4 linked regions of the Diceros bicornis minor genome follow. The protein of the gene in region 3 interacts with the protein of the main gene of each other region in a biochemical or structural test. Links are inferred from orthologs where the notes say so. Each region holds a gene or a part of one and is shown on either strand. Other genes may lie near its edges. The genes, in order: NRG1, SYK, ERBB3 and ITK.

Region 1 (7,637 bases), on a different chromosome or scaffold from region 3:
TCCTGAAACCACTGAAGAACATGTCTCAGATATGATCATGTCATTTAAAAATATATGCCATGACAGCTTAGTTCATGTCAAAAACACGCATGATGAAAGGAAAGTGCTGGTTCTTTCTATGACTAAGCAATACTTTCTTAGTTGAAAAGAAAAAAGTGAAAGAGATTATAAAATGACAATCTAATTCCAAGCTTTTTTTTTTTTTTTGCTTTCCTTTAGTTAATGTTTACAAGCTTGTTAAACAACAATAACAACCACTTATGAGTTTCTGAAAACAAAGCTCCCTGGACCAACCCCTTTCCAAAAAAAAAAACAAACACAATTTTTAGGATACTAGTGTTTTTGTTGTTTTCAGGCACTAGATCAAAAAATTAACACAGAGTTTCCCATACAGAAAACCCTATAGGCTGTAAAGTGTTAACCAACACTCTCCCCTAACTTTTCAGGAGACCAGCACTTCCCAGACTGCTTTTCCAGGCTTCTCTCCAATGGACTTCAGAACACTGCAGCTGTGCATCTGGCCAGAACTGGCCCCTAGGATGCTTTTAGGCAGCAGTAAATCTTTTCCACTCAAAGCAAATGCCAGAAAATCAATGCTCTGGCTTGGAAACACGAAAAGAAAAGAAACTATATGGAATGTGTAATCTATTAAAACACTTGCTAGAAGAATTGCCCTTAAAAAATAATTTCTCAAAACGTCACGACATACTTTTTGATATGGTCCTAGATCAGGAAAATGTGCTGGGTATTTCTTTGTTTGCTTGTTTTCCGCGGACAGAATTATAGAATTTAGTTGAGTTTTTCAAAGAGTCTTCTTTCTTTTTCTGGACAACTAGACCTATTCAGGCACATTTTAATTAAAGACTTAAGTTGAAAATGATAAAGACAAAGAAGTAACCTTGTCTGCATAGTGAATTTTGCTTCTCTTTGCAGGATTTGGACTTGCTTTTTATAGCCTGTCATTTCATCTGGGTATTATTTCCCGGTCACTTTGCCAGGTGGGAAGAGGCAGTGAATGCAGCGATGTCTGTCAGACCTTTAATGATGCTTCAGGGATTTGATAAAGATACAAAGCAGTAGGACGTTCTTCCCTAATTACACCTGAAAAACAAGCCTCTTTTTTTTTTTAAACCTTTGCCACTAAAACTGGTGTGTATAAAATGATCCTGATTCATAAGCCCAAATCAAGTTTTTCTCTGTTTCTGTAACACACGGATCCCCCTCATCCTGAACATAATGTCTGGAAAAGATATTTTTTATTCTTCATTTCCATTTAGAGGGAAGCAAACGGGGTATTTCATCACAGAAGCCTTATCCTCAACTCTCCTTTAAGAGATTTTACACACGTTTTTAAGAACCAAATCCTCTGATCTTTTACTTTTTTCTACTCAAGAAATATTCATCAATGGTAAAAGTGATAGAAGATAGAGAAACAACAATAAATTAGAAATGTAAAAAAAAAAAGAGCTATAGAAAACTCCTCCGTTATACGTTGATGTTTAGAACAATCTGACTAGTCACGGTCTCATCCTTGTCAACTTTCCATTACAAAGCATTGCAATGACCAGGTACAAACAGCAGTATATTGTTCTGTTTTGTTTCAACAGCATGGGCTCTCTTCACTCACAGATTATTAAACTGGACTGCTGCAATCTGATGGGCGAAATGACACATGTCTAAAAAAACGACGTAGCTTACTAATGTATTCTGTACTTTTTAATAACGGCCAAGGAAGCTATTTAAACATTTGATTACAGAAGACAAAACTAATCTGGGAAAATCTTTTCATGCAGAATTATTCTGTGTTCTGAACAAAATTAAGCTGCCTCTCGTAAGTGCTCAGAAACTGAAACTACAATCTGGGTAGGACAGCTGTAGCCTGACGCTGGCGAGAGGTGAGCATCATAAATGTCTAAAGACTTGATGCAATATTTGGAGGAACCAATTAAAACACAAATGCAGGGAGAAGTGGTTAAAGGAACAGGAAGAAGAGATGGAGAAAGAGAACAGGCAGCTTGGGATGGCTGGGAGGCACAGGGTATCAGAAAGCTGGGGAGAGGTGATAGGAACTCTATGGTGGAAAAAGAAAGACACAAAATCAGACTCACTGCTATGTGAAAATCAAATTTATATAAAAAATACAGGATGGGCTGACGTTTAATTTTAAAAAGTATTAGAAATCAATTGAATTTAACTCAGACGCTGAAGTTTTGGGCCCCCCACCCCAGATTTAACCATCTGGCTAGAGCGAGCTTCTGTTAGAGCACTGATTCATACTAGGAGTTTACAAGATCTTTTTACTCATCTCTTCAACGCCAGCCCAAGCATCCCAGTCACATGATAGGCTTCAACAAAACCAGGCAATTAAAATACAAGGAGGAGAGGAAACAGCTACACGCCCTGGAGAACACCTTTTAGGATCTCCAACCCACCCTTTCTTTTATCCATCACCATCTCTCTCTCTACTTACAAAGTTTAGGAGCAGTTTGAAGATTAGTTTCTGTTGTTTGTGGCTGAGTTGCTGACTTGGGTGTTCTCACCTCAGGGCTCCGAGTGGGTGACGGGAAGGATGGTGCAGTGGACGGCAGGAAAGAAAAGGCAAAAATACGATTCTTCGGGGTGGGTACCGCTGAAGGTTCAGAGGACACAACAGCATTGTCAACTTGCACTGTAACTTGAACCTCAGTGTCAGATTGAGCCCTAGAGACAGGTGAAGTGTATGCCTCAGATGATACCCACACAGCTGAGGCAGCAGTTGGATCCAGAGAAATAATAGGGTCCTGGCCTAACCCCCCGGGGTCAAGGTGAGTGGGAGAGTCATACTCAAATATCTTGTCCACAAATACCCACTTGAGGCCGGCAATGCAGAGGCAGAGGCTGACGAGGCAAGCCAGAATGGGGACAATGCAGATTTTCTCCGAGTTGAGGCAACCTCTCAGGCGCTCGCCTTCCAGGCAGACACAGCAGGGAACTGCCAGGCCCACGAGTCCGGAGGTTCTCCCATCTTCAGTCTGGGTCTCTGGCATGTCTTCAGCTGCCGGAAGCCCGTCAAGAGATGGGTCTGTACTCAGCTGAGTGGAGGGGCTGGAGCACCTCTCTGCAGCTACCCCAGACATGTCTGGGGAAGAGATCTCCATGGGCTCACCTCCAGAAGGCCTGGCCTCTCTCATGGTCCATTACCAGGCAGGGCCCCCCCCAACCAAATGATACAGCATCTTACATGGGGAAATCGATAAGTCGTCCAAGTCCAAGGCCATTATCAAAAGCAAGAGGAGTTCAGGAGGAAGGAAGGAAAAAAAGCCCCTAGCAACTACCAAATAAAAGTATATGGTAATTCTTTACTGCTGTTTCTGGGCCACTTTAGTAGTTCTTTTAAATGCTTCTCCAAACCATCCGTGCTAGTCAAGAGGGCAGGGGCCAGAATAGAAATCCAGCTGATGGTTGGTCAATTAAGTGAACCAGTAGCCCAAACTGAAAGGCATGTTTCTCACCTCGAGCATCTGAAGCTGGTGTCTGCTTAGATGGAGAAAACAACTGTCATGCAGGAGAAGTAAAAGCAAGAGCAGAATCAGCGGCGGCGGCGGCGGCGGCAGCAGCGGCGGCGGCAGGAGAGGCAGCAGCGACAGTAGCAACAGCATCCTGTTGTGTTAACGCGACGGCTGAAAGAGGCTGAATCATTACAGAGCAGCAGGTGCCTGCCCTCCGAGCATCACTGCAAACAGTATCATCACAGAGGGATCTGAAGGGACGAGTGCGGCCAGGAGGGGCGGTAACTCCCCTCCCCGCCCTGCCTCCACCCCCACCCCGCAACCACTCCTCTTTGTCCTTCTTGAGCGCTCATTCACTTTCTTCCTCTGCGGCTCTTCCCTTCTTCATAGTCTCTTTCTCTTTCTTTCCCCTCCTCATCCAAAGACGTTCTCACTCTCTCTCTTTCTTTTTCCTCCCTCCTCTCCCAACCCCCACCCTCTACCCGCACTCTGGAGCTGCTTGGCTGGTCTGAGTAAAATCAGTATACCCAGCAACACAGGACTGCCAGTGACTTCCTATTTTATCCAATTAGAAGGAATAAAGGCCATCAAATCAAAGAGAAGCAGGCAGGCACCAGTTAAGCTTGGTCCCCATGGCCCCCACCCTTTTTCTTCTCTTTCTCTTTTTCTCTCTGCAAAAGCGGCCCCAGTCTTCCACCCCCACCTTGCTTGCTTTCAGTCTGGCTGGCTCTCTTTCCTGCACCCACTGTTGGGTCAGGAAAAGGCAGCGATCGATGCTAGCAATCTAACAAAGCTGGGCTGAGGCTGGGGATGTAGGTGGGACCTTCTGGGTTGGACCTGGGGCTTGGCAAAGTCTGATATCTGATTCCTCCCTAGAGAGGTAAGCTTTTCAAGCAGCAATTACTTCCTGCCTGCTGCTGAGAGATAGCGTTCCTTCCTCAGCCCTCCAGTAAGTTTTGTTCACCAACAGGACTGTTATTACCTGATTTTCAACCAACAGTTCGAACATTTCTTTCAAACCATGGACAGCTCTGCCTTTGGCCCTTTTTGCAATGATTGTGTAAGACTTTGTAATGCCCAGTGTGAAATGCTGAGTGTATGGTGAAGGAGGCGGGTGCTAGGGGAGGGGAGAGAGACTCATACGTCCCCACTCTGGTCCTCTTTAAATTTCCATTTCCCTGTGCCACTCACAGCAGTCCTAGATGAATATCAAGCTAATAAGAAACCCTGGGAAGTAACAGAGCTACGAAGGGAGCAAAGGCTACCACTTCTTTTTGAAATTAGCCTTCATTGTGACTTCACACTGCGGAGGTTTGAATTCCCTGAGTGCTGTAATATATACCACATGTCCTCAGCTATAACCACACTGAAAGTATTAAGAAGAGTTTTCTATTAGAGCATGCCTTTTGGGTTAGGTTTCAGTAGCATTACCTTACAGATAGTTTCAATGTTGATTTTTTCCCCCCTTTTAAGATAGCAGTCATTAAGATACTGGGAAGAAGTGCACTGTCCTCAATAGAGAGCACATGGTCCCCCAAACCTCCCGTTGGTTACACGTCAGCGCACACTATATGCATCGTAACCTTTAATCCACGCTTTACTGTGACTGGACACCCGAATGGTTTCCAAGGAACCATTTTGCTCACCTATGTCAACAGGAGTCTTAAAAACTCTCTCTAAATCTATACTACATAACCATCATATGAGTCCCAGAAGCAATAAAATTTAGAGCTCAAGTCCTGAGAAAAATCTGCTTTAAGCACATGATATTTTGTATAGCACAATCTCCACTGCTTTGAAATATTTTTAAGCTTTAAGTGGGCATGAGATAAGAATATTATCATTTCTTTCAAAATGAAATTAGTCCATAATTATAAATGATTTAGGGGGCATTCATATCTTAAAATGTGCTTGTAGTACTGTAACTAACAACAACAAAAGCCTGAACAAATTTGCATAATCATAATTATGACTATGACAAGCTTATGGGCAAAATGAGTTATCCTGAAGTTCACCTCTACATAACCTGCATTTATGCACCAGTATTTTAAAATAATTCCTATGCCTAGTTTCTATTTTTAACAGTGAGAGCTTTCTGAAAGATTCTAGCAATGGACATAAAATTTCATATCATAGAAAATCTATATTGAAGCATTTGCAGTATTCCAACTGAGGTATTAAGATTTTAATGATCACTATTCATGTAAATATTCAAAAACAATATAAACAAGTAAATGTTTACGCTAAATTAGGATAACTTATAATTCCTTCAGAGATCACCCGGTGTAAATATGTGGCACTTAACTCCTCAATTCTGCCCCAAACCAAAATTATACTCAAGTATAATCCACTGGCATTTTATCCACAGCCAAGGTCATCTAAATTTCAAAGACCAAAATGGGGTTCAGGTAGCCCAAGTCAGGCAGGTAAGAGAAGACACCAAGAAGAGTAACCAATAACGTAAAAAGTGGTCCTTGCAGCCGGCCTGGTGACACAGTAGTTAAGTTCATGTGCTCCACTCTGGCGGCCCGGAGTTGGTGGGTTCTGATCCCCGGCACAGACCTACACACTGCTCATCAAGCCATGCTGTGGCAGCGTCTCATATACAAAGTAGAGGAAGACTGGCACAGATGTTAGCTCAGGGACCATCTTCCTCAAGCAAAAAGAAGAAGATTGGTAACAGATGTTAGCTCAGAGCCAATCTTCCTCATGAAAAAAAAAAAAAGTGGTCCTTAACTTGCACCAATCACAACTACTCACCTCACCATAATTGTTAAGAACAAACACATTCAGCAGACAAAGAAATCACTGGGCACTGCTGTAGCTGTCATATTAGAAACACGCATCTTTAATATGACAACTAGAACAGTGCTGAGTAATTTCCTACAAAGGAAAATAACACATTATACAAAGACTAGGCCAAAGCATCAGAGACAGAATCCTGTGGGCCACCACAGCCATTCCGTCCCCTGGACTGCACGAATCAGACTGTGGGATGTGCATGTGTCCTCCTTGGAGATGTACTCCATGAACCTTGTGGCACCTTGGAGATAAGATCAGAGTGCAGAGAGCCAGCATCCTATAAAGTTGTTTCCCACCAAATTGGAAAGTGAATAATTGAGGAAAGGGAGTAGGACAGGAGGTACAGAATAAAAGGAATTCTCCAATAGTTCTACCCTTTGGACTAGGAGCCAGAAGTTGTCTTTATCCCTTTATCAAATTCTCTATAGCAATAAAGAAGTGAGGAAGGGTAGTGTGAATGGGACAGGGATCGAAATTTCCTTTGGATAAAACATGCCTGTTTGTAGGAAGAAGTGCAAGGATGTATCACTTTAACCCTTTAGGCTACACCCCAATAAAGCTCAAGGAACCCATATTTCCATGTTCCCTTAAAAAATGAACAAGAGACATATTTTTACTGCCTTTTTAACACCACGTTACCACCTCCTTCATACAAAAAAAGCTACATTTATTGAGCTCCACCTTTGCGCCAGGCACTCTGTAGATTCTTAACATACATTATTTCTGATCTTCTCTAATCCTGTATAATACATATTATCTGGAAAACAAAGAAACAGACTCAGGCGGCTTAGGTAACTTAGCCATGGACACACAGCTATTAAGTGACAGGCCAAGATTTGAACAAAGGTCTGACTCATGCTATTTTTGCTGAAAAATACTGCTTCTCTTTTTTAATTAAAAGAATGCATTTGATTATGTATTCCTCACCTACCACTTCAAGGGGAGAATAAGTGACCCAGAAAGCATAACAATGAAATAGGCAATATTACCTTAATGTAGCTGGTAAACACACTTAAAAGGTGCCTAGTTTCCAAAAAAGCCTTCTAAGATTTTGCCTAGTGAGTTGCGAAAGTTATAAGGATTAATCATAGGCTATTTAAGTATCTCTATTTAGACTTTAAATTAAACGAGCTCTTCCACAGTCTCAGTTACAGGATTTTCTCTGGAATACTATTTCAGTTATGTATTGCTATGAAACCAACCGCCCTGAAATAGCTTAAAACAAAACCATTGTATTGTATCTCACTCGTCTGCAGGTTTACTGGGTTCAGCTGAGTGGTTCTTCTGCCCACTTGGATGTCAGCTGGGGCTGCAACCAGCTGGAGGTGCGACTGGGCTGAAACATTC
Region 2 (7,752 bases), on a different chromosome or scaffold from region 3:
TAAGCCCCGGGGCGGCCCCATACAGAATTCTTAAAGGCAAAAAAATTTCAAATTGACGCAAGCTAACATTTGGTCAGACACAATTATAAGCTAATAGAAAGCTTCTCTGCCATTATATCAAAATGAAGAAATGAACTCTTCCTTTAAAGTCCAATCAGCCTAGTTTTTTCTTATCTTCCCACAATTGCTCAGTAAAAAAACAAAAAACAAACACCTCCTTTTCCAAGTGAAAAAGAACTAACTTGTTCAAATCCAAAGTAGAAGAGTGAGATGACCAGACGTAATTTAAGTCAGTCAGTTTAACTCCAATCTCTCTTTAAGACTCTGCCTTTTGATTTCAATTGCTTCAAAAGAAAAACAAATGTCCATTTGTTTTTAAAAAAATTCTCCCCAAAGGCCAAAATTCCTAATTTTTTTCTCCACTCATTTACAGCTAACCCAATCCAGAAGTGGAGGAAAATGTTAAAACTTGCAAACGGGGAGAGAAGAGGTGAGTTTGCAGATAATTGAAATAATCTATACAGTGAAAGTTGAGGAAGCAAAAATGAGCTCAGATTATAAAAGAGCCCGCCATCCCTCAGGCACAGTTGACAGACAGAGCCACCGCAGGGCTCTGAAACAGTACTTCTCCCAAGGACACACGGCAGCTGTAAGGGGGGACGAGACCCCCTGTGAGTACGGTTCCTGTTTGAAAGCACCTCCTTAAGGATGAGACATCCATCCTCACTCGGAGGATCTCCATGTGGGCCACTATCATTGAAAAGTCAGGAAGGTCTCGCCATTTCAGGGCTCCTGAAAAGGCGGCAACTGCTCATCTAATCCCTGGACAGTGTGACTTTCTGGCAACAGAAATGCAACTCGCTTTCAAAAGCAAACGGCAGCTCGATGGGATCTAATAGGCTCAGTCCCTGGGCCCTAACTCCAAAAAGCTCTGAAAAACAGGGTTTGGGGGTAAGTTTTAGGGAAGCTCATTTAGTGACCACACTTGCCCTAGGCTGACACGCAGCTATTTGTAGGCTGTCTTTATTCCCCTTAGCGAGACCACTCACACGGTCAGCGCAGAAACACTAACGGGTGAGACGGCAGGGCACTGCTGAGACCGCGCTGAAGACGGATGGCGCACATGGTGTCAGGACGCATGCGCACCTCTCTGCATTCTGAGAAACGTCCCTCTCAACGCTGAAATTTAGATTCTAAATTTGAATCCTAAAGTCTGAAAAATCCCGAATTCCAAAACATATCTTAGCACAAGGATTTTGGATAATGGTCATGGACATGCTATGTGCTGCATAAGTGGTATCCTACTAAGAAGTCTTTGGTTTAAAAACGGAGAAATCAGACCTACACTTGGAATATTAAATATGAGCCTAGAGAAGGCTGTGGTGAGTTATTTCTGAAATGCAAATCTAGCAAAATGATCTTTCTGCCAATTTCATCCTTCAGGAAAGGTAAAGACCTAAAGTATACACTTCATTTTTATCCCAGATTAAAACATTAAAAACATTCTAGTTATTAAGACTATTCATAAAATCTTACATATCGAAGCACTCCCAATACAGAGAATAATACAAATCAATTTCTATTTTACTGCAAAATTTCTCTAAATACATCAAATGTATAGATAGAACAAAATGATTTGATAAAATAATTTCAACCGAGATTTCTTACTTAAAACATCTAATATTCTACAAGTATTAAAATCTTTTAGCTCAAATACAAGTATATCCATGCACCATCTGGGCTTTTGGGGGGTGGGGGCACATCGATAAATTTAACTGCATTTAATTAAAATGCTGCCCGTGTAATAACAATAAATTTGTTCTTACTAAAACAAAGAAATCAGATACTAGAATCAATTCCATTTCTTCCAGAAATTCTCAGTCACCACATAATTAATTTTTTTTAATGTGAAGATTCAGATGTGGGACATCTCCAGCTCTTTAAACTACACGCTGAAATGCTTCGGGGATTTAAGAAAAAGAATGACTGCTCCAGTGAACAGTTTTACCAGGTGCAATGGAACCTTTGGCGAGTCAGGCAAACTCATGAAAATAATTTGCAACACCGTTTCCAACTTAAAAAGACTCAAACTCTAACTTCTCCAATGATTGTCTTTCTCGTTCTAGAACATTCAAACGACCAAAAAAATGAATAGCATTTGTACGATTATTTAGGTGGGTTTCAGGTTTTGGAGCCATATTGCTAAAAAAATATTTAACTCAAATTTTCATTTTACTACATGAAACTTTCCTGCTCTCCGAGCCACTCACTGGCTAATTAAGTTACTTTACCATGAAAATGCGCCGAAAAAAGAGGAATCATGGTAAATTTTAGTAGTGGTTCAGAGAGTTGCACGTTTTTATGCAACCGCTCTTTTTTTCTGTAGGAAAAGAAATGTATATAAAAACCTTTGCAGGCATACGAACATTTCTACATTGAGTCACTTCGCTAAATACAGTGGAGTTTTCCAGTGGATTTATGTAAAGCACGGCCAAACGAAAATGTGCTCTTTCGGGGACGAGTTTCTTGCGCCCGCGGATGCCCGCTCGCGTTTCCCGGGACCCGCCGCTTCCGCACTGGGCGCGCTCGCCGGGCTCCCGCAGTCCCGGCCCGCACAGTCCGCGGGCCAGCCCCAGCCGCCGCGCCCCGCGCCGGAGCCGAACCCCGAGAGGCACTAGGCTTAGGAGAAAAGCTGGCACAGCCTATCGTTTTATCCGAATGATCTCATCAAAATTTCCCTGATTTCAGAGGCCGAAGGCCCTGAGCGTACCTGCCCCGTGTGCTGGGCGCACAGAAACCCGCCCAGGAGGAGGACCGCCGCCTCCTCCCTCGCCGCCCGCCCCAGCCCAAAGGTCCTCCAGGTTCTCACGGGCGGAGGGAGCGCGCGGCCACTCCTACCTGTGCCAGGTGTGGCGAGGGCGGGGCGCGGGACTCCGGGGTCGGCGGGCTGTGCGTCCGCGGGGACAGCTCGGGGCGCAGCGCGGGGCCGTCCGCTCCTCTTCGCTCTCTCGCCGCCGGAGTCGCCTCAGCCGCCCAGCGCGCGGCGCTTCCTCATTTTGGGCAACTTCCTTAACGCGCCCGGGCAGGCCCCGCACTTCCTCCCGGCCGCCGCGCCCCGCCGCCCCGGGCCCGCCCCGCCGCCGTGCGCCCCAGCGCCCAGATGGTCCCAGCGCCCCCAGCGGCCCCAGCGCCCTGTGCGCCCCCAGTGCCCCAGCGTCCCGTGCGCCCCGGGCAGGGCAGCGGCGGCCGGAGCGCGCGGGGACCCGGTCCGTGGGGTGGGCCTGGGAAGCGGGAGGCGCGAGTGCAGAGGGGAGAGGAGCTGGTGGGCGCTCCGATTTCCTCCCAGGTGCAGAAGGCTGGTCCTGTACAAGGAAGGGGCCCTGTCACCAACAGGAACCTCTCGCCACCTCGCCTGCAGCCTGATCCTTCTAAGGACCGACAGCCACTCAGGGGCACGCCCATTTCGCTGTGTAGTTGCCCAGGAACAGAATCCTGTTCACTGTGCTGTGTATTCCCAGTCACCAACCCAAGACGCTCCTGCCGGCCGGTGACCAGGAGGCCCCAGGAATCCGCCAGGTGGCCTCTCCCTTAGGTGAACGGCAGACTTCACGGGGCACGTCAGGGCGGGCCCAGCAATGTCTGAGGCGGCCGTGTTCTGAGGGCTTTCATGATTACAAGGCTCTTGACAGTGAGTTTAACGTGCTTCCTTCTACCCACAACCGGTTCTGACGTCTGGGGCTCATAAATGAAGTTTAATCCTTTTCTGTAGTCCTTAAAATGGTTTAAAAACACCTACCTGCTTCCCTTCCCGCTTTTTTCTGTTGGACAGCTCTGTTGCAAAATGTTCCCATAAAACAGCTTCTAGACCCTCACATTCTTGGTAACAGTAGTTGGCAGTGCCTATTTTAAAAAGCTATACCCTGAGCCAAAATACAATAACCGAAATCAAATGTATAGTGTGTTAGTATAATTGCCATGGAGAAAAATAAGGTCATCAGAAGTGTTGACACTTTCCCACTTGGACATTCTCTTCCATGCCATTTTGCCGTCAAATTTTTAACCCAAGTGAAGGATTTTTATTATGATTACATTTGTTAACCACTGGACTTGACTTTGCCTCAAACCAACAACGAAATAGCCACTGTTCTCTGAACGGAGGCTGCGGATGTCTCTATTCCGGAGGCCTTGAGAGCTGGCGGTGTCGTTGGAAGTAGGAGCCTGGGGACCGTCCTGTGTTTGCTAAGATTGCTTGTTTCTCAGGGGAGGCTAATGAGAGGAGGTGAAGTTCTAAATCCATCTCCAAGCCCCCCTCTAGCACTGCTGTGGTCCTTCTCACTAATTCACTTAAAAGTGAATTAGTATTCTTGGAATGAATTTTTTAAATAAAAATGTTAAAATCATCACGCAAATACCTAGACAAAAATCTTCCTAAAAGTCATCACATTTCTCCCAGTCTTTCTTCCTGGGCCCATGTGCCGCTTCCCTTTGCAGACTTTGCTTTTTGTCTTTCACTGTAAGAAATCTCAGCTGTGACTCTGCTGAGTCCTGGCACCTCACACCCAGATGGTCTTGGAGACTCCTGACACAGTCACTTTTTAAAGTCTCCCATTCCTGTAGATTCATTATTTCTTAAAAAATAATAAATATATTTGTTTTCTGGGTTTGCTGTATTAATTCCACCATATGAAGTCTCTGGTGTCTGCTTACGTTGTCAAGTGTTCCACTGGCTCTGGTTCATGGTGCCTGGCTTCCTTGTGTTCTTGGTTACATTCAACTGTGAGCCGCTCATCCTCCTTGAAAAATTATTTGTGGAGATTCGTTGAGGCCTAGGAAAAAGGTATTTTCTTTCAGAGGAAATTTGCCTTTGTTTTCTGGCAGAAGCCTAGGGTGCAACTAGTGTTTGGACAATTTAAGGTGGATTCTCAGCTTATGTTTTTTTGGACCATCAAGGTGATACAAATTTGGGCTGGAAATTTGGGGACAATTTTGGTCAACCTGTGGTTACAGTTTCTCAAGGATTCATTTCTTCTGCTTCTGCTCTGGCCTTCCTTTCATTTTTCTTGTATCTAGGAGTCCATGTTTCCTGTATTCCATGCCTTTCTCTTCCTCAGTTTATTCCATCATTTCAGTGGAGCACAATTTCGAGGAGTTTCCTGAGAAATGGAAGTAGATATTTTAAAGACCTTCCATATCTAAAAAGGTTCTACTCTTCACTTTTTTTTTGGTGAGGAAGACCAGCCCTGAGCTAACATCCGTGCTAATCCTCCTCTTTTTTTTTTTTTTGCTGAGGAAGACCGGCTCTGAGCTAACATCTATTGCCAATCTTCCTCCTTTTTTTCCCCCAAAGCCCCAGTAGATAGTTGTATGTCATAGCTGCACATCCTTCTAGTTGCTGTACGTGGGACGCGGCCCCAGCATGGCCGGAGAGGTGGTTCGTCAGTGCGCAGCCAGGATCTGAACCCTGGCCAGCAGCGGAGTGCACGCACTTTACCACTAAGCCACCGGGCTGGCCCCCTACTCTCCACTTTGATTGATGGTTTGGATGGTATAGAATTCTAATTCAGAAATTATTTTTCTGCACAATTTTTAAGTCATTTTTCTATTGTTTTCTTGCTGCAAGTGCTGCTGTTGAGAAATACAAACCCTTCTGAATCTTTATCCTCTATCTTTTTATGCTGATGCTTTATCCCTTTCAGCATAGTTACAAGTTCATTGTCTGACCTTCCCATGCTTGGCAGCTCTCTCCAGACCTTCTTTTTGCTCTGCTCCTCTGTGGGAGACAGCTCCTGGATCCTTATATCAGATCCTTTTTCTTTTCCCTTTTTGGGTTACAGTTTGAGGGCTTATGACTCCTTCTATGCCTGATTTTCTACAGCCTTCGAGCAGGCGGGGCTTAGCTGGAGTCCTGCTGTGCTAACTGGGCTCCTCCTCCTTCCACAGGAGACTGGGTTGAACCTAGGAGGGCTCACCCCTCATGGCAGAGGGAGAGGGAAGAGCTTACCACACTCTTTTGGGGGGACCTTTGCACATCAGCTCAGTCTCCCAATTCCTGTGGGCCCCTGGAGCCCTCACACTCGTGACAGAGTATTGCCAGATTGCTGCCATTTCTCTTTTTCCCCTCATCTCCACCGCAGCCATTTTTACTACCCCATCATCAAAAAGGGGAAAAGCTAAGGATTAGCAATTACTCCTTTTTCTTCTCTTGAGATCTGAGTGAGAATTGTCAGGATTTCGTGGACTCACAAGATGTGTTTTCCGGGAGGTGGGCTCATGACCCCACCGTGATTCTCTCAAACTTCCGGTTTTTATATGAGCCAGCACTTTTTGAAGTTTACCTCCTTAAGTGCTTCTCCTTTTGGTTACTATTGGTAACTTTTACATTTTTGTTTTCTCCCCCTTCCCTTTTTTCCTTGGGGAGGGAAGGTTCTTTTTTTTCTAGATAGTTCCTGAATATTTCACCACTTTATCCAGAATTTAATGCCACACCATTTTTTTTCCTATAGAATATATATCGTACATTTTAATATTTAGAGTGCAAGGTCCTCAGTTTTCATCTCTTTCAAATTAAAAATACACAGGGTACACATGATATCCAATAGGATGCTTTAGGTTGCAAGTAAAAGAATACTCAACTCCAACTATTGAATTCATAACATTTTATTGGCACAAAAAGGAGGAAGCTCCAGAGTTAGGACAGCATCACGTGTACTTTTATACAAATTATTTTAAGTTGAGATAAAATTCGCACAACACAAAATTCACCATTGTAACCATTTTAAAATGTAGTTGTACCTTTTACAAAATGTAACGACTCAACCCTATCTTGTCTTATGAAGGCAAGTTAATCTTGATAGACCGGCATTGCTGACAGAATCATAAGATGAATTACTTTATCTCAGTGCTTCCCAACGCCTGGTCACATCTGTCTATCTGCCATAATGCCACAGAACGCTGGCTTCCCTCACCAATTCAACTGGGATATAAAAGTGACCTTTCACTTACAAATGGCAGACTTCCTTCCTTTTCTGCTGTCAGCGAGGTTTTGAGCAGAAAGACAGAAAAGTTACTTGAGGACAAAGGATGGCATTTGAACTTAGACCATATGCGTCTAAACCCCGGGGTAAGAACACGGACCGGGGGTCGGAAAACGTGGGCTATCCTCCAAATGCTGCCCTTTCCTGGGCGCGGGGCTCTGAGCAAGTCAGGTCTCCTGTGTGCACCTCTGATTGCTTATTTTTTGTGAAATTCAAGCCAGCTAACAATTATTGTGTCTCTCATTGCCAGACACAATTCTAAGCACTGGAGATTGATGAAAAAGGTTGGGAAAATCTATGCTCAAAAGTCACTCCCCCTTCTCATATCTCAGCAGGTGACCATGCATTTGCCCAGCAGACTCCTCCTTAAAAATATACTTACTTCATTGGAAGGTAGTTCAAGCTGTTATTTTTGCCTTAATGAAAATCACTTCAAGCAAATGGCTTTTTGCACACCAAGATCTTCTAATTCTTTTTTCAAAAGTACATTTCAATTTTAACATCTTTTTTTTGATATGATTTACATGTTATATGACTTACCCATTTAAAGTGTGCCATTCAGTTATTTTAGGTATATTCACAAAGTCGTGCAACCATCACCACAATCAATATTAGAACTTTTTTTTTTTTACCACAAAAAGAAATCCTGTACCAATTAGTAGTCACTCTCCCTTCTCCCCCCTCCCACACAACCCATCCCCTCAATACACACATACCC
Region 3 (7,339 bases):
GGTGGGGGCACTGCCTGGGGCCACAGTCCAGCCCACAATGAGGCGATTCTATCTAGGAGGAGGGGTCTGCCCCACCCTGTCCCCAGACACCCTGTCCTCAGCAGTACCCCCCCTCTACGCTTAAGCCTTGGGCTCAGACAAGTGACCTCACCAGAGGGGGGAGCTCTGGTGGTGGTGGTGGTGGGGTCAATGTGAGCTTTGTCTTCAAAGCTAGAAGATAAAGAGCTGGTTGCCTACCCTGTCCCCCCTTCCTAAACCCTGGCTTCCCTTCTCACTCCCTTCCCCTATCCCAACACACTCCAGCTCCCTCAGCATCACACTTTCCAGCCCAAGAGTATTTTTCAGCAAATACAAAGAAGCCTGGAGGGAAACAGCAGCAGACTCCCCCCATTCTGAGCCTTCCACTCAATTTCATTGTCAGAAGAGATTCATTAAAAAGCCCTCCAACATGGCAACCCCCACTCACGTCGGGGGAGTGCCTAGACTTGAGGTTCATGAGGGGTGTCAGTCTTGGGGGTTCACTTTACCTTGTAAGTATGGAGAACATAGGGGCTATGGGAAATCTTGGACCCTGAACTCCTATCCCTGTCTCTTTCCTCTGGCTCAGTGAAAGACTATGGGTTGGGGGGGAGATACCACCTGTTCCAACCACCCTTCCCTGAGGCGGTGGAGCTCAGTGGGAGGCAGGAGTGGAAATGGAGGGAGATTGGTGAGGCCCCAATGTCTCCTAGATACACCCCTAGTCTGACCACTTGACTTTTGAGGGCTCTCATTCGCCATCACTCCCCCACAAAGGGAAAGGGGTGGGCTAGACCCAGCAGAGGGGTAAAGGGGTAAAGCAACCAGAGGAGCCTAGGAACTCCAGGGTCCTTTGGCTGAAAAGAAAGAGGCTAGGAAGGTTAGTCATTTCTGGAACAGCCCCACCCCAACCCCCTTCCTGGCAGGACACCCCCTCTTCCAAGTCAAGGCGCCAACTCTTCTCCCTAGATAAGGGAGGAGCCAAGATTTCTGCAGAAGGAAGTGGTGTGTGTGTATGTGTACATGCACGCACTCAAGACACACACACACATACAGAGGAACATGTACATAGCTCCCTTGCTGGCCCAGAAATCTAGACTGGTTCTGTCCTTGGGTTTCCTTAATGGGAAGTATTTCAGGTGACCCTATCCATCTCACCTGCCCATATATGTTTGGGCAGACTTGGTGTCTGTGCTTGGAAGGCTACAGTGTTAGAGGTCCCAGTTCCCTGCCACCCTGAGGGTAAAGTCCGTATTACACAAACAGGGAGCAAAGGGCCTGGGCGGGAAGGGAGTAAGAACAACACCTCTGAGGAGGAACCCAGCAGCTTGGGGAGGAAGGCAGGGGGAAGGGAGTTATAAAAATCCCTGCTGTACTCAGGGACCAGGGGCATAGGGAGGGGCAGTGTCACAGGCCCTCATTTGGTAGAGAGCACTGGGGTGGGTCAGAGCAAGAATCTCCAGCCCCTCCTCAACCAGAGGCCTCCTCTCCAACATCCCCCACCCCCATCACAGCCAGGACAAAGGGGCTATAGAAGGACCGAGACAGGGCCGGATGCCCAGAGGCTGCAGGATCCAGATAAAGGGTAAAGAGACCCAACCATGCCTGCCTCCTGGCGCCCTATGGGAAGGTGGCCAGGATCTGGGACTCCTGGGTTCCTGGTTGAAGATTCCAGGGGTCTGGATGGGACAGTGATACAGTCACTCTACTCGGTCCCTCCCACTCCAGTCCCCAGACCCCCGCCCTCCACCAGCTGGGAGTGTTCACATCTCAAGATCCCAGGGTCTAAATTTAGGCCCAGCAACTGTGGGGGAAGCACAGGTGTTTCTCCCACTCCCACCCTGGGGAAGGGGCCCTGGCTGTGACAAACCCCAAGCTGAGATCTTGGGGGGAAGGGAAAAGATCAACAGGATTCCTCCAATGCCAGCAATACCAGCACCCCTCAGGTGTCCATTGTCCCAGAGATGCCCCAAAGGGGGAGGGGGCTCATATGGCATGGGAGTGGGAGGAGGAATAGAAGAGCAATCTGACTTTAGTCCAGAGTCCTAGAGACAGTCAAACAATAAACAGAATGGGGGTGGGTGAGAAGCTGGGTCTAGGAAGGACTCCCCAGGACAGGAGGCTCAGAAGGTGGGAGAGATGCCCTGTTGATCCTCGGGTTGGGGAGAGAAAAGACAGAGAGAAGGCTGGAAGTCCTTTACTCTACAGTTCCCGGCCCAGGGTCTTGTACATAGTAGATGCTCAATAAATACTCGTTGAATTGATCTGGATCTTGACAAAGAGAGGTTGGTCAAGTCGGGGACCAACTAGCTTTATTATTTTGAGGGAAAGAGGGCAGTCAGTCTCTGCGTGGCCTCTCACCCTGATGTTACCTGGACGTGGCCCTCTGGTTAATTTCAGCCCTCCCCAGGGCAGGCCCACTCACGGAAGAGGAGGTGCCGTTCTTGTTTTTCCAGCACCAGAGAACAACAACCCCCTCCAACCCTTCCATAGCTCCGCCCTGTCGGCAAAACAACGAAACTGGCGGGTGCTGAAACCAGGGGGAGCAGGGCATTGGGGAGCAAACTGAGACACCCCCCCCCCCGTTCAGCCAAGCTCTCCACCTCCAATCACCTCCTCAAGTTTGCAGAATGGAGGTCCCAGCTCCCCTCCCGGCAGGGCCCCTCATAAGTGTGAACTGTTTGGGCACCAGCCCTATCCGGAGAGACAAATTCGAGGGTCAGCGACGCGCTGGGGAGGAGGAGGTGGTGGTGGTCCAGGAATGCCGTCCCCGCCCGGACCACGCCGAGAACCCCAGCGTCGCAGTGCCCGCCCAGGTGGTCCCAGCGGACCCAGGGTCAGCACCCCGAGCGTCACACTGCGGGAGCCCCTGCCCTCCAGGGCTCCGCGTCCTCGGTTCGGACCCCAGGGTCCGAGCTGCCCGTGCTCCCGCGCCGCTTACCTGCCTGCGAGTTGCCCACCTCGGAGCCCCGGGCCAGGCTGAGAAGGAAGCCCAGCACCTGCAGAGCCCGGTTCGCCCTCATAACGCTAGCGGAGGGTGAGGGGAGCCCAGCCGAATCCGGCCCGGGGGGCCCCTGGACTAGGACATCGAAGCGGAGCCACCTGAGCCGCCAGCGAATTGGTAGCGGCGGCAGAGGAGGTTACACACTGCAACCGGAGCCGGAGCCAGAGTCCGGGGCGGGATGGCAGGGGAGGGTGTGTGTCTGCGAGCGCGGAGGAGGGAGGCAGGGGGAGGGGGTGAGTCACGGCCGCGCCCCCTCCGGCGCGAGGCTGGATAGGGATTGCCGCCGCCTCCGACGGCCCGCCCCGCGCGCCCCACGCCCCACTGCCCCGCGACTTGGCCCAGCAGATCCAGGATGGGTCTCCCCCTAATTTTCTTCAGGAGCTGGACTAAGGGAACGTAAAGATTCCAAACGCCCCAAATGCCTCCGAAGGAGAAAGGTAATGGGGGTGGGGAGAGCGCGCGAAAGCCCAGCCCTCGGAAAGTTGGCCTCGCCCATTAACCAAATCACTCAACTCCCCTAGCCGGTTGGGTCACTTGGGGGATTTTGTCTTCGAATGTGGATGTTTTTCTCTGTGTGTGTTTTTGAGGGGGAGGGTATTTTTGCCTCACGCTCAGGCCACCTCAGTTTCCCCGGAAACCCCTCGAAACCCCATAACTCATCCACCCTGCCGAGGAACCTGAGCCCCAGAGGCCGCGTGAAATTGCACTGTCTCCGGCCGCTTCCTCCTCCAGACCGGCGCCGGCCCGGCCTCTCCCGGGGATTTGGTTGGGGGGCGGGGGTGGTTTCCAGCCTGGGAACAGACCCCGAAGCCCGCCTTTCCACTTCCACCCCGGGAGGGGCTCCCGCACCTGTCGCCGTCCCCTCTGCTGCCCCCCACGGCCGCCTGGGAGAACAGCTGCCTCCCCTTCCACGCTGGAGTCTGACCGCGCCGTCGGGGCGGCTGGAGTTCCCGCCGCTGTTCTGCGGACCCAGATGGGCACACCGTCCCCACCACAGGCGCTCACACCTTCCCAGGCGCCTTCCGAGCCTCGGCTCGCGCTGGAAAGGGGGAAGGGGCACTAGAGACTGCGTCCACTAATGACGTGGACCCCTGACACCTCAGCACCAGCTCCTGGATCCTGGCCCGAGGTGGTCGGGTGCACGGCGAGTGGCTGCCCCAAACCCTGCCGGCCTCCGAACGGATCCGACGGGCGCCCTCTGGTGCCCAACGGGCGGCAGTGAGGCCCCTCACGGCGTTGCATTTCTAATCTCTTAAATTGGCATTCTGGATCTCGCCCAGAGAGCCTAATTATTTTCCCCAGAGTTTCAAGCCTGAAAACTTCAATAACAGTTAAGCCTCGATGAAGAAAAATTTCGCCTCTCACTCCGAACCAAGACTGCGGGCTAAAATTCTTTAAACTTTCTCCGTACTGATATGCACTCTAGAAGCCCATTCTCTGCTGGAGGCTACCTTTGCCCCTGGGGCGTTGGCCTTGCCTTGACCACTTGCATAACAGTTGAAATAGTAATAGCAACCAGGAAACATTAACATATACATACATATACCACCTCACTTGCAAGCGTTGCCTCAAACTTAGAGAATGTTTCACTTACAAAAACTATGTGAGCTAGGTGACATCACTCTCCATTTTACAGAACTGGAAATGCATGACTTCGCCAAGGTCATCCTCTTGGTGACAGTGGATGATCAGGAGAAGGGGTGCAGGTTTTTACCTAGGTTTTCTTTTTTGTGTGTGTGAGGAAGATCAGCCCTGAGCTAACATCCATGCCAATCCTCTTTTAGCTGAGGAAGACTGGCCCTGAGCTAACATCCATGTCCATCTTCCTCTACTTTATATGGGACGCATGGCTCGACAAGCAGTGCGACAGTGCGCGCCCGGGATCGGAGCTGGCGAACCCCCAGCCAAGGCAGCGGAGCGGGGGCACTTAACCGCTTGCGCCACCAGGCCGGCCCCTTTGCCTAGGATTTCTTTTTTTTTTAAATAAATTTATTTATTTATTTATTCCCCCAAAGCCCCAGTAGATAGCTGTATGTCATAGCTGCACACCCTTCTAGTTGCTGTATGTGGGACGCGGCCTCAGCACAGCGGGAGAAGCGGCACCTCGTGCACGCCGAGGATCCGAACCCTGGCCGCCAGCAGCGGAGCGCGTGCACTTAAACGCTGAGCCACGGCGCCGGCCCCTACCTAGGATTTCTTATGTCCCACTGAGACTGGAGCTTCATCTGCTCAGAATCAAACTCCCACCAGATAACTGAGCTAACACCACTTCAGGGGCCTTTCATTTGATTACTCATCCACCTCACACTAGTGTTCAAGGCCCTGGTTCTGAAGGAGGAAACCCTCCTTAGTTTCCTTGTTTGTAGAACAGTTGTGTTTACTTATAAGTTTGTTGTTTGGATTTCATAAGAAAAAGCAGGTAGAGCTCTTCTTTACCTCATTGTGCTTGACCTTTAAGAAGCATTCCATGAATACTAGCAGTATTTCTTCCTGTGATCACCAACTCCACCCCTCCCCTCCCCAACTAGATCCCAGGGTGTGCTTGCTGGTATCCATTCTTCAATACATCATGCTAAGCATCAGGGTTATAAACACTGGATAAAGCCGACAAGTAAGGGGCCGTCTCTGTTGGGTGCTGCCCTGATTGAATAAAGGAAGGGAGAGAGGCTTTATTTACCAAAGCTCTCTGCAGTTATCCACCATCCCTTTATCTTTCCTTACTCTTAGCTGATAACTTGGGTTCTTATTCTACTGTGAAAATAAAAGTAATCAAAAGAAAACATCCTTATCTTTCTACCACCAATCTGGCCAATTTACCTCCATCCTCACTTCTATACTTTGACTTCCGTCTTGTTACAATGAACGGTCCTTGCTGCTCTTTAAGCCAACTGTCACTCCCCCAACCCTCACCCCCACCCCCATCCTCAGTGCTACACCTCAGTCCATTCCTTCTTGCCTTTCTCCTGCATTATCCGTTTTCTCCTCTATTATCAATTTTCCTCTCTACTAGATCATTCCTGTTCGCATACAAACGTGCTGTCCTATCTGCCACCTTAAAAAAATAAAACAAAACAAATTAACCTTCTTTGACCCCATGGCCTTCTAGTCCTTTGCTCCTAACTACTGCCAGATCCCTATACTTTATTTGTTCACTATCCAATGACTGCCTCCAGCTTCCTGCCATCGCGAGCTATGCTGCAGAATATCCTCCTACCTGTCTCCTTTGGTTCTGTGATCATTTCTCGTGCATATTGAGCTCCACACTCTCTGGACTATCACATCATCAATAGTGGGATTTCTATATCCACACTTCCTTGTCAATACTTGACATTATTCAAGTGTCCAATTTTTCAATTTGCCATGAATTCAAAATGATATCTCATTGTATTTCTTTAATTCTTTTTTTAACGAAATTTTTTTTTCTTTTTTTTTTTTTGTGAGGAAGATCAGCCCTGAGCTAACATCCATGCTAATCCTCCTCTTTTTTTTTTGCTGAGGAAGACCAGCTCTGAGCTAACATCTATTGCCAATCCTCCTCCTTTTATTTTTTTCCCCAAAGCCCCAGTAGATAGTTGTATGTCATAGTTGCATATTCTTCTAGTTGCTGTATGTGGGATCCAGCCTCAGCATGGCCAGAGAAGCTGTGCGTCAGTGCGTGCCGGGGATCTGAACCCGGGCCCGCCAGTAGCGGAGCGCGTGCACTTAACCGCTAAGCCACGTGCGGCCCTCTTTAATTCTTAATATTTGAGCATCTTCTCAAACTTTTTCTTACTTTTGGTTTTTCTCTTTTATGAATTGCCTATTCATTTTCCTTTGCCAATTTTTTAATAGGGATTCTCATATTTATTATATTGGTTTGCAGCAGTTTATTGTATATTTCAGATATTAGACCTTCATTGACTTTAGACATTGCAAATATCTCTTCCCAATTTTCATCATTAACTCTGTAAATAATATTATTTATTGAACAGAAATCCTTAATTTTGGTATAATCTAATTAATTGATTTTACTTCTTATGGTTTGTGATCTTGATATTTTTAAAGACTTTCTTCCCCACGCTTGCAGCACATTTATTGAGATATAATTGATACACAATAAACTGCACATATTTAAAGTCTACACTTTGCTGAGTTTTGACATACATATATAACCATAACCACAATCAAGATAACAAACATATCCATCACCTGGGAAAGTTTCCTCATGTCCTTTGGTAATCTCTCCTTCCTCATCCCCATAATCTCCCCCATAATCTCCCATAATCCCCATACACATGCCCCACCCTAGCATGTGTATATACAGTTGTTCCAGCACCA
Region 4 (7,374 bases), on a different chromosome or scaffold from region 3:
AGGTCCAGGGGAACGTCTGAAATCACGCCTGCCTGTGAGCCGCCACATGCCACCTCTCTGTTTCTTTCTGGCCCACAGCTCCAGCAGGACGAACGAACTTCCTGGCCCCACTGAAAACACTTGCACATCTCAATAGGGGAAACAGGCATCTGACATAGAACTAAATCCACGTTAAAATAAAAGGCTCAATCAGTATTATAATGACAATAGGCATGGATATCTCAAGTTAGAAAAAACATACTTAATTTGCAGAAGTACAGAATTTGTTCCTGAATAGGTAGAAGAATTATTTTCCATATGATGTCATAAATTCGCAGGATTTTAGAGCTGAAGGAACATGATTTCACAAATAAGAAAAGAGAAAAAGAAGCTGAGACCCTGAGAGGGGCAATGGTTGGCCCAGCATCAGGCATCTCATGATGCATGTATGCCTCTCCCCACAGATTTGTATTCAGCCACAGAACAGAAGGAACCAGGAGCTTTACGTTAGCCTGACTTTGAAGAATCCTTTAATGTCTCCCTTCATTAGAAAACAAATGTGTTATGCCACCCTGCTCGCTCCTTCAGAGATATTACGATGATACAAATAATAGCTCAATTTTACTAGGTGACCAGACTTCTGCTAGGTACTTTATATATTAAGTTGAACTATACGAAATTGGCAATATCTGACCTTTTTTGATCTACCAAATGGTAAATTCAAATCGTTCAGTCTAAATACATTCTCTCTGTTAATCTTTACCATCTTCCCATGAAGTAAGTACTTTTATTACACCCATTTTATAGATGGGAAGACTGAGGCTTTAATCTAAAAATAAAAAGTTTATTTCCACAAGTGTAATGCTATTATTATTTATGGGCAATGCACAATGCACTCTTGTGTGCAAACTGATGGCCCTAAACAATGGAACATACATAGGACATAAACAATAATAACTCACACATCTTACTTTTCTCAGGGACCTTGGATAAATTTCTAACAAATAAATTTCTATAATATCTAAAGAAATGATTTAAAAAAATGTTATTTATGATATAAGCTATGGGCATTAGAAAATAAGAAATTTGATGTTTGTATGTCATACATCTGCTATATCCCACATGGAAGTCTTAAAAACTATAGCCCAGGGCTCCCCAGAATAAATTAATTGTCCTGGAATTTTTCATAATGTTCAAATGAAGAAGTGAAGTGATTTCACAACACTGTCTTCGTGCAAATTATAACCAACAAAATTCTGAATTAAGATCATTTGGTTGTGTGATTATTTGCAAATAATACGATACTGAATTCACAACCAAACAGTTCACAAACAGCAAAGCTGCTCAGGAATGATCAGTACTAACTAAATGAGACGATGCTGTGTTGAGTCAGGACAACAAATTGGTGAAAACTATAAAATGGGCTTTGAAAAAAAAGGTTTAAAGGAAAATGACTGTTCTTTCAATATGAAACAAGAACTTCTAATATCTTATTCACAAAAAGAAAAAACTGACTGATGTCATGTGGATTATCAGCTCTATATGATGAATCCTCCAAGCTCATAACATAACCTCTGGCCCTCTATTAACTAGTCAACAAATACTTATTGGGCACCAACCAAAGAGGCCTTGCCCATGAGTAATTCCATTTCCTTTCTGAATGATTGGTGGATTGTTATCAGTAAGAGTCTGCTGAAGATGAGCACATCTTTTCACCTCCAAAGAAGAGCCAGTATTATTTCACCCGCAGCTTAAAAGGCCAGGCATCCATAGCCTCCATAGCCAGCCTGGCTTCACTCAGGACTCCATTTCATTGAATATTTCAAAGCCTGACTCTCAAAAGACCCCAAACTCATGCCTACACCTACTAAGTCAGATGCCAATAAGGATTCGAAGCGCCTTTGTCTCTAAGTGACCATCAAGCACCTAGTGTTATTTCCCCTTCAGTAAAATAAATATAGGCGAAAACCCTTGCCCTTCCATCCTAGTGATGGAAAAACAATACAATGATATAGGAAGAAGTCAAACATGCTTGGAATAATTGCGAGAAGGGTTAACCAAGTGCTATTTAATAGAAACAAAGGATTTTTAAAGAAGAAAGAAGAGTTGTAGGTGGTATTTCCAGTCCTTTCATTTTATAAAAAAAGAACCTGACACAGAAGGTAGACACATTTGCCCCGGCTAACTCACCTAGAGAGAAATAGAGTTGGTCTCCTGACCCCTCGATCAGTGCTTTTTGTACCAAACTACATTGTCATGATTATTCATGTTGCTTTTATTATTACTGATGTTATGGAATATAGGAATATATTTAGTTAGATAAAAAGACTGACCTAGTTTTTTCTGTAATCATCTGGATAAGAACCTCTGGTCTGTACTGCATCACACTTTGTACATGGTAACTCTAGTCTCCTGGGAAGTTCTCCAAGGGATGAAGAAGTTTACCACTGTGCCTTGCAAATTTTAGACAATTAAATGCCCAGGGAATATTATTCCAAGACATCAGGTGAGTGGTGAACATTGAGACAAACAGAATTAAATTCATAGAAACGTTGACACTGGACCCATCACTGAACCATTCTAAGTACCAGTTTCTTCCACTATAAATTAAATAAACTGGGCTAGATCACTGCTTAGGTCCCACTGATCGCTAATATTTTATTAATCTATGTTATATAAAATGTAGTATATGTTAAATGAAGTTCAAATTGTATCCAATCATAACATTTGCCATATGAAATATTATAATTTTAAAATTAAACTTTCAGAGAGGAAAAAGTGAATGAATTCTAAACTTAACTCTTTTACAGTTTTTAGAACTGAAATTGCCTAACACACCCACCGCATCTCTTGACTTTTCTGCACACTTCTCTTCTGATTACTCTTATTGTACTTTTTAGGTGTTATAACAAGCATGTCTGTGTTCCCTGTCTTCTTATTTCAGTCCATGGATTCAGCCCAGTCTAAACACAAAATATTGTTTAAAAAAAAAGACAAAACAAAGTGCTCACGTACCCCATGACGATCCTCAAAGTATGCCAGGCTGGTTTTGGTTAAAACAAAGAAGCGGACTTTAAAGTTGGAGGGAGAAGTTCTTCTCTTTTGTTGGGATTTTTTAATTAGCTGTTCTTCCAGGAGGATAAAGTTGTTCATGATCCAATTCTTGAAAAGTGATGCGCCTAGGGCATCACCCCTTAGCACAACCAGAGGAAACGGCTTCAGGGCAAGGAATGCGAAGGGGAGGCAGTTGATCTTCAGAGAGTTGTTCAAAGGCACCTTGCCTCCAACGTTATCTTTCTATCAATGTTCAGTCAACATTGCGGAGCCTCTGCTCTGATGTCAAAGGCCGTAACCACATCCTTTCAAAATTCACAAAACCAAGAGGCACATGTAAAAATTATACATACTCTTTGCTGTATGGCTTGAAAATGAAGAACCTTAAACTCAAAATGATATGAAGGATTAGAGTTTAATCTTTATAGTTCCTGGTTTAGCCCAACCAACAGTTAAGGCACGTAGCACAAAGGGTGGGAACATGGGCCCATGGAGCCAATGGGCATCGTTTGTGCGTTAGTTTCCTATTGCTGCTGTAACAAATTATCACAAACTTAGTGGCTCACAAATTTATCTCACAATTCTGTAGTTCAGAGGTCCAAAATGGGTCTCACTGGGCTAAAATCAAGAGGTCAGCAGCGCTGTGTTCCTTTCTGGAGGATCTCTAGGGTAGAATCTGTTTCCTTGGCCTTTCCAGATTCTAGGACCACCTGCATTCCTTGGCTAATGGCCCTCTTCCTCCATCTTCAAAGCCAACAGCAGCAGGTCAAGTTCTCTCATCCATACAACTGTAACCTCTTCTTCTGCTTCCCTCTTACATATTTAAGGACACTTGAGATTACCTTGAGCCTGCTTGGATTATCTAAAATAATCCCCATATTTTAAGATCAGTTTATTAGCAACCTTAATTCCATCGTCTACCTTAATTTCCTTTGTCATGTAACCTAACATATTCACAAATTCCACGGATTAGGACATGGACACCTTTAGGGGAGCCATTTTTCTACCTACCACAGTTTGAATTCTGCCTCCACCACCTAACTAGCTGTGAGACTGTTGCCAAATTCCTCAAGAGCTCTGAGCCTCAGTTTTTTCATCTGTGAAAGGGAATAATAGTGCCCCTACACAAGGCACTACAGGGCTGCTCTCTGGCTTCCTTCCAGTCTCATTTCATACCACATTCATGCGTTCTCAGTTCTCACTCCAGCCTTCGCACCTGCTCTTTATGCTGCTTTGAACATCTGCGTATCTTATCTGAAAATATCTTTTCTCCCCTATTTTGCCTGGTTAACTCTAAATTATACATTCCTTATGACAGTTGTAATTGTACATTTTGGAGAGTGAATTTGGATTAATGTTTGTCTCCCCCACTGGTCTAGAAGCTCCATGATGGTGAGGACTGTTGTGTGGTTTTGCTCACCATTGTATACTCAGCAACCATCACAGTGCTGGCACATAAAAACGATGTTTAAGAAAAATGTGTTGAATGAATAATCACCAAACTGGGTTGGACAATTAAAAGAGACAATGACCATAAAACACTTAAGAGAAATATATTGAATTTTATTATTTTTCAAAATTTAAATGAAAGCCCATAGAAGTTTCTCTGTGCTACAGACAGACGATTGCTTTTCTATCCCAAAATTTAGTCGAAGAGCAGAAAATATGTAAACCCTTCAGAATGGCATAAAAAACAAAGCATGTATGGGCTCTGAAGACAGACAAACTTATATGGGAATCCCATCTCTGTCACTTACTAAGCTGTTTCTCTTTGAGCAAGCTACTTATCCTCGCTGATCCTTAAGACTAAGGATCCTTGTGAGGGTCCTTTTGAGGACTGAATCTCATAAACGCTGGAGCGGTGGGTGCTAGTCATGTATCTTGTCTTAGAATTAGTACACAGTCAAAGTACAGCATGAGAGTCTTATTTCCAGCATGAAGTAAATAACCAAGAAATCGCAGTGTAAGCAGAGGTGGCATATATGGGTCAGGGACAAAAAACGAAGTAAAACAACCACTATTGTTATATAGGAGTTCAATTACCTAAAATTTTTTTTTAATGTAAATTACCAGACTACAGCTTAATTTTGTTTCATATATTAGATGTGCTAGCATAATTGAGACACTCAGGATGGTGGGGGAAGGGATATTTAAATAATTCCCCCTCCCACATTCTGAGGTTTTAAGACATATGTGTGAAAGTACACTGCCCAAAAGATATACTACTTTTTTCCTTCTGCATATGCGCTTAAGACAGGGATTGCTGCTTTCTCAAAATATCTACTCTCCCCTTCTTCTTGGGTAACTGACTCCCTGAAGGTTATCTGGGCATCTGGCCAGCCAGAATAAACACTATATTTTTCAATCATATGACTGTTTTTTAGCCAATGTAACATAGCAGAAGTGATGAGCACAACTTCTAGGACGTGTTCTTAGTGGTAGTCATCTTGCTCATCTCCTTCTGTTTTTCTTCCTTCTTACTGATTAGAATGTGGATATGATAGTTAGGCCTGGAGCAGCTATCTTATATCATGAGGTGGGGGATAATGGAGAGTAAGATAGAAAAAGCCGGGGGCCCTGACGACCCTGGATCCTCCATGCCAGCCTGAGATCATCTTTTTCTTTTTTCACAGAGAGGGAAATAAAATTCAATTTTCTAGGTCCCTGGTATTTTGAAGTTCTGTTACTAACAACAAACCGAATTATAACAACATAGTGCTATATTCCAAACTAGACTATAAACTTCTTTGAGAAGGGTAGATTTATACCTGGTTGGTTCAGGTTAAAAGATTTACAGACTTCACAAAGTGTTCTCATCTGGGAAAGCAAAATATCATCAGTAGCTGTTGTAATAGGAACCTTTCACTTGCCAAGTCTCCATAGAGTACGATCATAAGTAATTTTATTCTCTCTCCATAGCGTCTTCAAGCCCACTCACTACAACTGGTCTTTGCCCTGACCTAAATATAACTTTAAGAGGCCCAATATTTCCCCCATCACTTTCAGGAAAACATACATAAAAATAAATAACCTCTTTTTTTTGGTTTGTGCAAGTCCAACTCACAGGAGCCAAATTCAAGAAGCTCTCAGTTGCCAAAGATGGAATAATTCAGGCATCAAAAAGAACAATAACTGCAATTAATTGAAGAAGAGCCAAAATGTTAAAATCATGAGTTCATAAGGTACGTGAAAAAAAAAACCCAGCCCATGGATCACTTTTGGAGGATGCTGGAGAACCAATTTATTATTCTGAAAACTGGAAAACAAAAGAAAAGAATAAAACATATTTCCTGTTTTTTCCTTAAGAATTATATCTCAGTTTAATAATCAACTATTTAATGAGGGGAAGTCTTTCTTTAGAGAAGAATTCCAACTAATAAATGAAGAAGGAGTGATAGAAATTGCCATTTTGCAATCCTAATGACATAATTGATCTAGGCAATGATCATTGATGGCTGCTAAAATCATTATGTGAAAAGCAAATAAAAAAATTCATAATTTACATATTAGACTAATAACACTGTGTCACACGGATCAATCTTAACGTCACAAAAAGAGAGACAATGAGACATTACCTGTCTCCTGAAGTAATGCAATAGGAAGTAGACAAAACCACCTACGCAGAAGTCTTGCCAAAAAAAAAAATCAAACAAGAATCTCATCAAACCTCGAGATCTAAATCCGAGTTTGCAGGAAATACAAGAGATAAAGAAACATGGCAAATGACACCATGAAGATGCAATTACATAAGTCCAGAATACAGAAAACGCTCAAGACAAATGACCCCGTGTCTGCAACAAATGAGTCAGAAAGAGAACCTATACATTAAAAGAGCCTTTAACAGACATATCAAGCATGTGATGATTTTGTTGGGATTTAGATTCAAACAAATTAATTGTATAAAGACATTATGACACAATTGGGAAATCAGAACACTGCATTTTTGATTATTAAATTATTATTGATTTTTTAAGGTGTGATAATGGCACTGTTGTTATGTTAAAATAGTCCTAGGCGGCCGGCCCGGTGGCACAGCTGTTAAGTGCGCGCGCTCTGCTTTGGCGGCCCGGGTTCGCAGGTTCGGATCCCGGGCACACACTGACGCACCACTCGTCAGGCCATGCTGTGGCAGCTTCCCATATGAAGTAGAGAAGGATCGGCACAGATGTTAGCTCAAGGCTAATCTTCCTCAGCAAAAAAGAGGAGGATTGGCATTGGATGTTAGCTCAGGGCTGATCCTCCTCACAAAAAAAAATAAAAGAGTCCTTATTATGCACAGAAACTTACTGAAATAATTATGGATAAAATAATAAAATGCCCAATATTTGCTTTCTTATAATC

Evidence for each region.
Region 1: the proteins of ERBB3 (region 3) and NRG1 form a complex in vitro, tested with the Homo sapiens proteins (8 studies listed by BioGRID and IntAct, with this or other methods). The link is inferred for Diceros bicornis minor from reciprocal best matches to the Homo sapiens genes ERBB3 and NRG1.
Region 2: the proteins of ERBB3 (region 3) and SYK form a complex in vitro, tested with the Homo sapiens proteins (2 studies listed by BioGRID and IntAct, with this or other methods). The link is inferred for Diceros bicornis minor from reciprocal best matches to the Homo sapiens genes ERBB3 and SYK.
Region 4: the proteins of ERBB3 (region 3) and ITK form a complex in vitro, tested with the Homo sapiens proteins (2 studies listed by BioGRID and IntAct, with this or other methods). The link is inferred for Diceros bicornis minor from reciprocal best matches to the Homo sapiens genes ERBB3 and ITK.

The regions. Positions count from the first base shown.
Region 1 is NC_080768.1:30,156,186-30,163,822, reverse strand, and holds the start of NRG1 (pro-neuregulin-1, membrane-bound isoform), read right to left. Parts: upstream 3,138-7,637; coding exon 2,471-3,137; intron 1-2,470. Other genes in the region: uncharacterized LOC128092250 homolog, read right to left, coding at 3,450-3,638. UniProt on the Homo sapiens protein: Direct ligand for ERBB3 and ERBB4 tyrosine kinase receptors. Concomitantly recruits ERBB1 and ERBB2 coreceptors, resulting in ligand-stimulated tyrosine phosphorylation and activation of the ERBB receptors.
Region 2 is NC_080761.1:55,627,932-55,635,683, forward strand, and holds the start of SYK (tyrosine-protein kinase SYK), read right to left. Parts: upstream 3,075-7,752; 5' UTR 2,899-3,074; intron 1-2,898. UniProt on the Homo sapiens protein: Non-receptor tyrosine kinase which mediates signal transduction downstream of a variety of transmembrane receptors including classical immunoreceptors like the B-cell receptor (BCR).
Region 3 is NC_080756.1:12,681,165-12,688,503, forward strand, and holds the start of ERBB3 (receptor tyrosine-protein kinase erbB-3), read right to left. Parts: upstream 3,265-7,339; 5' UTR 3,042-3,264; coding exon 2,960-3,041; intron 2,713-2,959; exon of another isoform or gene 2,632-2,712; intron 1-2,631. UniProt on the Homo sapiens protein: Tyrosine-protein kinase that plays an essential role as cell surface receptor for neuregulins.
Region 4 is NC_080740.1:73,163,267-73,170,640, reverse strand, and holds the start of ITK (tyrosine-protein kinase ITK/TSK), read right to left. Parts: upstream 3,262-7,374; 5' UTR 3,133-3,261; coding exon 2,995-3,132; intron 1-2,994. UniProt on the Homo sapiens protein: Tyrosine kinase that plays an essential role in regulation of the adaptive immune response. Regulates the development, function and differentiation of conventional T-cells and nonconventional NKT-cells.